Oryctolagus cuniculus: one gene and its partner. The main gene of each other region encodes a partner of the protein of the gene in region 2 in a complex. Links are inferred from orthologs where the notes say so. Each region holds a gene or a part of one and is shown on either strand. Other genes may lie near its edges.

Region 1 (4,446 bases), on a different chromosome or scaffold from region 2:
CTCTTCCTGGGAGAGAAGAGAAGAGAGGGTCATCCCATGAGCACTCCGCTTCCATATCATAAAGCCAGCCTTAACAATGCAGTTCCCATGCCCTCACCATGAAGAATGGGCCACAGTACTTACTGCACAGGTTTCCCATCCAATTTGGCAAGAAAACAAATTGCAAACATGACAATCATTACTTTAGCCATGTCTTGAGCAGACATCATCTTCTCTAAAAGGAAAGCAAAATAGAGACATTTTAACATGTTTTTCATATTTCAAACTATATAAATACATATTTGTAGCTTACCTTAATAACCATACCACACACACAGCATGACACTGGGTTGGTTTCCATGAGAGCCTTTTGGAATCAGTCTCTATTTTATGGATATGTTAGTACAAATACAAATATTTGATATAGAATTTAGATTAGGGATGCTTTCTTAGTATATTTCTGAGATTTTTTTGCACATTTTAGTATGTGAATTTTCAGCAATGAGAAGATGCAAGATCTTAGTTTTGAGAATTTCCTCTCACATTTTATGTTGGTTATTCCTAGATGGTTATAATTTGCTTGAAAATGGCTAATTCTCTTAATTAGGTAAATTGTCAACACTGTTTATTTACTTAGCCAATCCTTTTTTCATAGGTAAACTTCTTTTCAGGTACTACAATGATAACTCTAAATACCAAATTAATAAGCTCTGATTTAGAGTTTTTTTTGAATTAACACACACTTCCCCTGGCATTGAAAAGACTGTCACAGCATTTAAATATCATAGAATTAGGGCCGGTGCTGCGGCTCACTAGGCTAATCCTCCACCTTGCGGCGCCGGCACACCGGGTTCTAGTCCCGGTCGGGGCACTGGATTCTGTCCCTGTTGTCCCTCTTCCAGGACAGCTCTCTGCTATGGCCAGGGAGTGCAGTGGAGGATGACCCAAGTGCTTGGGCCCTGCACCCCATGGGAGACCAGGAGAAGCACCTGGCTCCTGCCATCAGATCAGCACGGTGCGCCGGCCACAGTGCGCTGGCCGCGGCGGCCATTGGAGGGTGAACCAACGGCAAAGGAAGACCTTTCTCTCTGTCTCTCTCTCTCACTGTCTACTCTGCCTGTCAAAATAAATAAATAAATAAATATAATAGAATTGTTTATTATGTGTATTTCAAGCTTCAGTTCTTAATAAAATGCTTATCTGAATTTATTTTTCCAATTCATTTTATTAGGAACTATTTTTAAAAATTTATTTATTTGGAAGGCAGAGTTCCAGAGACAGAAAGAGATCTTCCATCCACTGTTTCGTTCCCCAAATGGGGGCTGGGCCAGGCTGAAGCTGGGAGCCAGGAGGTTCACTGGAGTTTCCCACATGGGTGCACTTGGGCCATCTGCTGCTGCATACCCAGGCACATTAGTAGGGAGCTAGACCAGAAGTGGAACAGCTGGGACTCATGTCACCCGTGGGGTATGTCAGCATCGCTGGCCATGGCTTAACCCACTACGCCACAACACCAGCCCTAGCAGCTATGTTTTAGCAAAATTTTAGCACCTCTTTTTGCTCAATAAACTTCTTATTTCACTATAAAATAGTCATGCCTTAATCTGCATTTCAATCATTGCAAATGCTGTTACTATAGAAGTTCTTCTAAAAGCTCAGAGATCTACCTTCCAACATACACATGGAGGAGTGTGGTACTTCTACTTTGAAGAGAAACTATATCATTTAGAAATAATGTAACAAACATAAAAGCCTGCCACATTTCTGTTCACTATATAATAATATGGGGGCAGTAAAGGAACTTTTTCGTTTAGGTTAGAAACATGCCAGGTAGCAGGAGGACAGCAACACTGGTTTCTAATCCTGGCTCTGTCACATTCAGCTACGACCTCTGACATCTCTCTGTTTTGCTTCTTTGCTCTTAATGGGGGAGATAGGCTTCTTAGAAGAATATCACAGGGGCCAGCGCTCTGGCACAATGGGTTAATGCCCTGGCCTGAAGCGCCAGCATCCCATATGGGTGCCAGTTTGAGACCTGGCTGCTCCACTTCCTATCTAGCTCTCTGCTATGGCCTGGGAAAGCAGTAGAAGATGGCCCAAGTCCTTGGGCCCCTGCATCTGCGTAGGAGACCCAGAAGCAGCTCCCAGCTCTTGGCTTTGGATGGGCACAGCTCCAGCCGTTGTGGCCAACTGGGGAGTGAACCAACAGATGGAAGACCTCTCTCTCTCTTTCTCTGCCTCTCCTCTGTCTGTGTAACTCTCACTTTTGAATAAATAAATAAATCTTTAAAAAAAAGAATATCACAAAAAAGAGTGGAAAAGTGGTTGTTAAACATCCTTAAAATTCATGTACAATTTTCAGCATAGGAAATTAGAAAAAGTTGTTATTTGTGTAAAGGAAATAATTATTCAGTAACAAAACTGAGTTTATCCAACTTTAGTATTCAGATTAAGCCCCAACAAGCAATTAAGGATACCATCAATGTAAGGCATTTCCTACTCTGCAGGAAAAACTGAATTTTAATTCTGCTTAATGAATTTATAATGATTATTTAAATCAGAAATGTTCAATTTACTGTCAGCCTATTTTATTTCAAAATTTTGATAGACTGCTAAAATGTCAGATTTTGATTATTTTTTCCTGAAATTTCAAATGAGTTTAGAAAAAGCAAAATATCTAATCAGAAAGATGCATAATTTAAGAACATTTTAGCATTAATTTCTGTATTGTTGCATTTAATCTTTAAAATAATTCAACCTCATTTAAAGATTTTACTGTGAATGAACAACATATTTGTAGAAAATGGTCTAACACAATTGTTTGGTTATCAAAATTCTCATTTATCTTGTTTTAAAAACAAGATAAAATCGCAGGGGACTCACCCGACAATGTCTTAGGACAAGGGCTTCTTTCAGGTGAGTGGCAGCGGATGCTCTATGAATGTCGAGTCGACGTGACAATGCCGATGGAGTGCAGTGCAGAGCAGCCAACGGGACATTCACAACAGGTCTCTGGCCCTCTGAGAAAAGCTTTTTATTCTCCCAGATCTTGCCACTCCCAGCTCTCAGAAGGTCAAATGTGGGATCACAGCAGCACACAACCCCTACTGGGCAGGACCCACCCCTCTTAAGTTTTAGATTATTGGATATGAAAAGGAAAATAGTACCGGACCGGGAAAAGTGCTTACACGAAGATTTCTAACAAGTATTGAACTTTACTTCAGAGAAAAATTCGACTAGGTTGATGAATCTGAATTCATACCTTTAAAAAGCCTGATTTCAAAGATTTGTGACTTATCATGTTACCTTAAAATTTGAAAATAAGTGTATTTGTTATAATCATACTATTGACACAGTTGTTATGATAAGCAGTCATATGAGCTATGCTAACTTTATAAACCATTCTCAACAAATTCATATCAGTCACTCTAGTCATATTTCAAAAACTATAGTATTTTTCCTAAAGAAAGTGTTAAAAATAACCAGAAAATGTTCTTAGGGCATAATTCCTCTTATAAGCTTCAAAAGTGAAGTTATTCTAAAATTCATTTAACTGGGGCTGCCGCTTTGGGGTAGCAGGTAAAGCAGCAGCCTGCAGTGCCGGCATCCCATGTGGGCACTGGTTCGAGGCTTGGCTGTACCACTTCCAATAGTGCTCACTACTATGTCCTGGGAAAGCAGTAGAAGATGGCCCAAGTCCTTGGACCCCTGCACCCGCATGGGAGACCCAGAAGATGCTCCTGGCTCCTGGCTTCAAATCGGCCCAGCTCCAGCCATTGCAGCCATTTGGGAAGTGAACCAGCAAATGGAAGACCCCCCTCGCCCCACTTTGCCTCTGTCTCTGTTACTCTACCTTTAAAATAAATAAATAAACCTTTAAAAAATCATTTAATTTACATTCCATTTATACATTTTAATCTGCAATAACATTTCTGAAGCACTAATACTATATTAGACACTACATGCATTATTTACTAAGCCTTCATAGAGGTGCCTTAAAGTAGGTATTATTGTTATTCCCATTTTCACCTGAGGAAAATTAGACTTGGAAAGTGGAGAAGATGGAATTCAACAAAGGTCTTTATGACTCCAGAGCCATTGGATTCTCAGTATCCTAGTTTCCCATTAAAATATGGCCCTTCTTTGACCTCCAGTCTTCTTGGGCTTAATTTGCCTAAGCCCTTTGTAAACTCTCTGTCCAGGGATTGGGGTTTGAATCTCAATTTTTCCAACTGATGATTGAAGGCCTGCTCCAAAATTGAATGGCAGCCTTCTGCTGCCACTCACTTCTCCAGTTCCAATAATTTCAGCAGCCTGGTCCTCAACTATCAGAACCCCTTGAATGCCCTTGATGTCTCTGGGGCTCATTTAGAAAACTTGCTGCCCATCTAAAGAGCCCGTTCCAGAGTTGGGTCAGTGCCCTTAGCCCAGGTCCCGCTCAAGCTTCAAGTCACCACTTTTCCTACT
Region 2 (4,397 bases):
GGCCCCACAGGCCCAGACACCACCACGCCAAGCCCCCCAAGCCCTGGGCGGGACACCCACACCAGCCACTCATTGGCACTTGCCAGTCCCACTGATGCATATGTGTGCATGCACAGAGCTCCCTGAGGCAGGGTGGGGAAGGCTCCGCTGCACCCCCCCATGCTAGTGCTCGGTGCACCTCTGCAGGGTGCTGAGCCCCCCTGAGCTCAGTTTCCCTATCCCGAGTCCTTGGCTCTGGGGATCCTTTGCTGCAGCCAGGACTGCGAGCACTTGGACACTGGTTCGGCGGGGTTGCAGAGGACCTCAGAGGAGGGGAGAGCCGCAAAGCAGGGCATTTTCTGGAAAATGTTTCTCTCCTGAACTCGGGACATCAGAAGCATGGCAAAGGCTAGCCCAAGGCTGCACAGGCACCAGGCACAGCCAGGGGAGCCCCAGGGCTCCTGCCTCTCGCGTGGGGTTCTGCTGCTGGTCAGGAGGAGGGAGCACCTGCCCGTACTGCTCACCAGAAGGCAGATGGCCCCATCTGGGCAGAGGACAGCAGGGGTCTAGAGGTCAGGGCTACAGGCAGAGCCCCTCCTTAGTAAGGGGCTGGTCCCTGGGGCAGGGCTGCTGTTGGATATGAATAAGAGGATGGGACATCCCCTAGCCCCAGCCACTGACCCAGCTCGGGACAGGCAGGTGCTGCCCCTCTGAGTCTCTGCCTTCGCCTGTCTCCCCGCTCCTCTGTTCTCCCTTTGTCCCTGTCTCTCCCTAGCGTTTTCTACTGTTCTGTCTGCTGCTCTCCACTCTGGGGGAGCCCAGCCGTCCATCTCCTCACTTACCAGAGCCCCCCTAAGTGTGTTTCTCCTGCAGAGATGTCCAACGAGGTCAGTCTCCAAGGGACTTCCATCCCTCCCTCCTGGGCAAGGGGCTTCAGCTCTGGGTGAAGCTGGACATGTGTTCACGCATGTGTCTAAGTGGGTGATCACGAGACCTGGAGGGAGCCCCTAAAACCTACCCCAACCTCAGACACAGCCCGGTGTCCAAGGCTGCAAACAAAACTTGCAGAAAACCGAGGAACCCCAAAGCAAACGTTTTGTGTGACTCCACACCCGGGGCCAAGGTCCGGCCTTCTACTCCATCACATTGTCACCTCCGAAGGAGACACAACCAGGCAGTGCTCAGACAAGCAGAGAGCAGGGAAACCCCACCAGTCTTCCCCAAATGGGGAGACCTCAGCATCCGGAACCCACAGTCCAGATGCTCCAAGACAACAGACGCCAGAGGGGACCCCCCACTCGATGTTCAGACCACTGGGGGAACCCAAGACTTCCCGCCGTAAACGCGCCCCAGGGACTCCAGGGCAAGCGCCCAGCCTGTCCCGGATCGTGAGCAGCGAGGGACTTACCAGCGCGTACGCGGAGCTGAGCACGGGGCAACAGAGCAGGAGCGCCAGGCCGGGTGCGATCCGGGCGGCCCCCATCGCCACCGCCTAGGGCCGCGTCCCTCGGGGCAGCCACCGCCGCCGGCCCTGGTGTAGGGGTGCAGAGCTGCGTCAGGCCGGGCCGCCCCGCCCACGCCCCGGCCTAGGGGACCCCGGCGTCCGGGCGGCCCGAGGCCCCGGGGCCCGGCGCGGGGCCCATGCGCCAAGGGCGGGCGAGTGAGCGAGCAAGCGAGGGATGGAGGGAGGGAGGGCGGGCGGCAGCCTGAGGCCGGGCGGGCGGCGGGCGGGCGCCGAGCGCTGCGGAGCGGCCCGTCTGCCTCGGAGCGGAGAAATCACATCCATATGGCCGGGCCCCCCGCCCCCGGCCCGCCCCTCGCCCCCCTCCCGCGCCGCCTTTTCTTTCTCTCTCTTTTTTTTTCCTTTGGGGGAACTGGGAGCTGCGGCTTCGCCCCACGCCCAGTGGGGGAGGGGTGGGGGAGGGGTCGGGGTCGCGGTCTGCGGGGGGCGAGCAGAGCTGTTATTTTTAGCTCGGCGGCGTGGGGCTGCCGAGGAGTCAGGGCGGGGCAGGGGGCGCGTTTCGAGCCGCGCGAGGCGTGCAGCGCGGGGACACGATCCCAACTTTGCCGCGGCGCTGAGCCCTTGGCAGCTCCGGCCGCCAGCTCCCAGTCCCTCGGCCCCCTGCCCCCAGCGGCCGCCTCCGGCACCCCCTGCCCATCCTCGGCCGGAGCCCCGCCTGCGCCCGCGCGGCACGAGCGCGCTTGCGGCCCCGACGCTCTGTCTGTCCGTCTGTCGGTCAGTCCGTCTCTAGCTCCCCCGGTCTTGGCCTCCGTGCTTCCAGCGGCCCCAACCAGCTCGGTTTCGGTCACTCCCTCGTTCCCCTCCCCCTTCCCTCTCTACGAAAACATTTGCAAGTTTCCAAAAAAGCCACCGAGCCGAGCGGCGCGGGGCTGGCGGCTCCACCGGGCTCCGAGGAGGCGCCGCCGACAGACATCGAGACAGAGCGGCCCGGCCGGCCCGGCCGCGCCGGGAGTCGCCCCTGCCCACCTCCGGCCTCCCCCTCGGCGCCGGCCCCCAGCCCCCACTTACTCCGAGCGCGCCGCCGCGGCCCCCGCCTTGCCATGGATGTCGGGGCCCCCCCGACAGCCTCCCCCAGCCAGCGCCCCGTCCGCGGCCCCGGGGGGGCTTCATGGAGCTCTCGGGATCCCCCCCTGGCCGGCCCGGCCTCCAGCGCCCCCCGCCCGGCCGCCGCCGCTCCGAGCCGCCGCCCGCCGAGCGCGCGTCCCTCGCCTCGGCGTCTGCCGCGCCCCTCCCCCGGTCGGGCGCCTCTGCCCTCCCCCGCGCCCTCCCCGGGCTCCCCGCCCCCACCCGCGTGGCCTCCGACGGCAGCGTGGAGGGGCCGGACGGAGCCCGCCGCCCCCCGCCCCGGGACGCTTCTGTCGAGGCCGCGGCCCGGGGTCGCCCGGCGGCGGGACGCGAGTCTTGGGAGTCTGAGCCGGGAGAGCTCTGACATCGGGGCCTGGGACACCGCCGCGCTTCGTCCTCCTCTTCGGGAAAACACAGACTTTTATATTTATTTATTAATTTGTGTTCTGATCGTCCGGTCCAAGCAGGCATCCTCGGCCGCCAGGCAGGCCCTCTCCCGGGAGGATCCCGTGGGGAGGCTGCCCGGGACTCGGCGTTCCCCGGCCGCCTGCCGGTCTCCCGCTCGGGGCTGGGACCGGGGTCCCTGGAGAGGCTGCTTGGCCGCTGCCGCCCTCCGGCCCGCCCCGCCCCACCGCGGGGCCCCTGCCCCATCTTGCGCGAGTTGGGGTGCTCGGGCCCCAGACGCGCCCCCGTCTCATCCTCACGTCCCGGTCCCACCCATCTCTTTCCAGTCCAGGTGTCGCTGGCCGGCCCTCTCCAGTGCGGTGCCTGGCCCCGGCCCGTGGCGCGGGGCGGGGCGGGGGGAGGGAAATGGGAGGAGGAGCTCTGAGCAGCCAGGACACCCCCCCTCCCGCCCCAAAACGCTTGTGGCCTGCCGGGGTCCGCTGAGGACCCGCGATTTGAGGAAAGGGAAGGCAGAAGTTTCGGGAGGGGGGTCGTGGGCGGGGCTCATGTGTTCGGCGAGAGAGGGGACGTCAGAGCTGCAGGGGTCGCCTTCGACCCCAAACCTACCACCTCTGGCACCGTTGGGGAAGCTGAGGCAGAGGGAAGGGCTGGGGCTTCCTGGGCAGGTGCAGTGTGTACACACACCCTAAGTGGCAGCCTCTGCTTACCGATCGTGTGTCCCCGGCACTGTGGCTGTCCTGTAGGCTACGCCTCAGTTTCTTCATCTGTGAAATGGGGAAGTTGACCAGCTGGTCCAACGGGTGCTACTGACTTTACCCCTCACTCCCCACCCCACCCCACCCTCACTCCTGGGTGGGTGTTCAGGCCCAAGGGCTCCAGGGAGTCCCCAGACTCAGCCTGAGGAAGGGAGCACCCCATCTCATGGACTGTCCCTCCCCTACAGTGTACAGTGCCTCAAGCTGAACCCTAGGGCTGCTGGAATCCAGAGGCAGCTTCCACGGCCCCGCCCTCCTCAGGTCTCTCCTGCCATTCAAGCACTGGGCAGTAGACAATGTCCTGCAAAGAGGCTCCCAGACCCTGGGCTGTGGTGCTGGCCGCCACCCCACCCCCCGCCCCCACCAAGTTTTCTGTCCTGCCTCTGTTCCCCCAGCAGCCTCTGCCAGGGTCAGATGAGCACCTGTCCTTGGTGGAAAGGATAGCCCTGCCCTCTGTGTCCCCACACCCTGCATCCTCAGGGGGGCTGCTGCTTTCTGGGATGTGTGGGCTCCCACAATGGCCCAGCTCTGTGTCTGGATCTGAGGGACTCCCAGCTGTGTGGCTCTGTGACCACTGGCCTCCCAACCCCTTGGTGATGAGAGAAGAACTGAGAGGTAGAACTTGGAGCTGATGGGGGTGGAGGGTGTCACCCTTAGATCTAATGCAACAA

Evidence for each region.
Region 1: the proteins of PTH1R (region 2) and PTH are in contact, whole or in part, in a cryo-EM structure (PDB 9JR3), measured with the Homo sapiens proteins. The link is inferred for Oryctolagus cuniculus from reciprocal best matches to the Homo sapiens genes PTH1R and PTH. Residues at the interface, in NP_000307.1 of Homo sapiens: Val31, Met32, Thr33, Lys34, Glu35, Gln37, Ile38, Leu41, Glu111, Trp112, Asp113, His114, Ile115, Ile135, Tyr136, Asp137, Phe138, Arg146, Arg162, Thr163, Ala165, Tyr167, Val171, Leu174, Thr175, Glu177, Glu180, Arg181, Phe184, Leu187; in NP_000306.1 of Homo sapiens: Ser32, Val33, Ser34, Glu35, Ile36, Gln37, Leu38, Met39, His40, Asn41, Leu42, Gly43, Lys44, His45, Leu46, Asn47, Glu50, Arg51, Val52, Glu53, Trp54, Leu55, Arg56, Lys58, Leu59, Asp61, Val62, His63, Asn64, Phe65.

Annotation. Positions count from the first base shown.
Region 1 is NC_091432.1:52,703,975-52,708,420, reverse strand, and holds the start of PTH (parathyroid hormone), read right to left. Parts: upstream 2,844-4,446; 5' UTR 258-2,843; coding exon 124-257; intron 7-123; coding exon 1-6. UniProt on the Homo sapiens protein: Parathyroid hormone elevates calcium level by dissolving the salts in bone and preventing their renal excretion. Acts by binding to its receptor, PTH1R, activating G protein-coupled receptor signaling.
Region 2 is NC_091441.1:101,878,152-101,882,548, forward strand, and holds the start of PTH1R (parathyroid hormone/parathyroid hormone-related peptide receptor), read right to left. Parts: upstream 2,949-4,397; 5' UTR 2,934-2,948; coding exon 2,510-2,933; intron 1,511-2,509; coding exon 1,388-1,510; intron 1-1,387.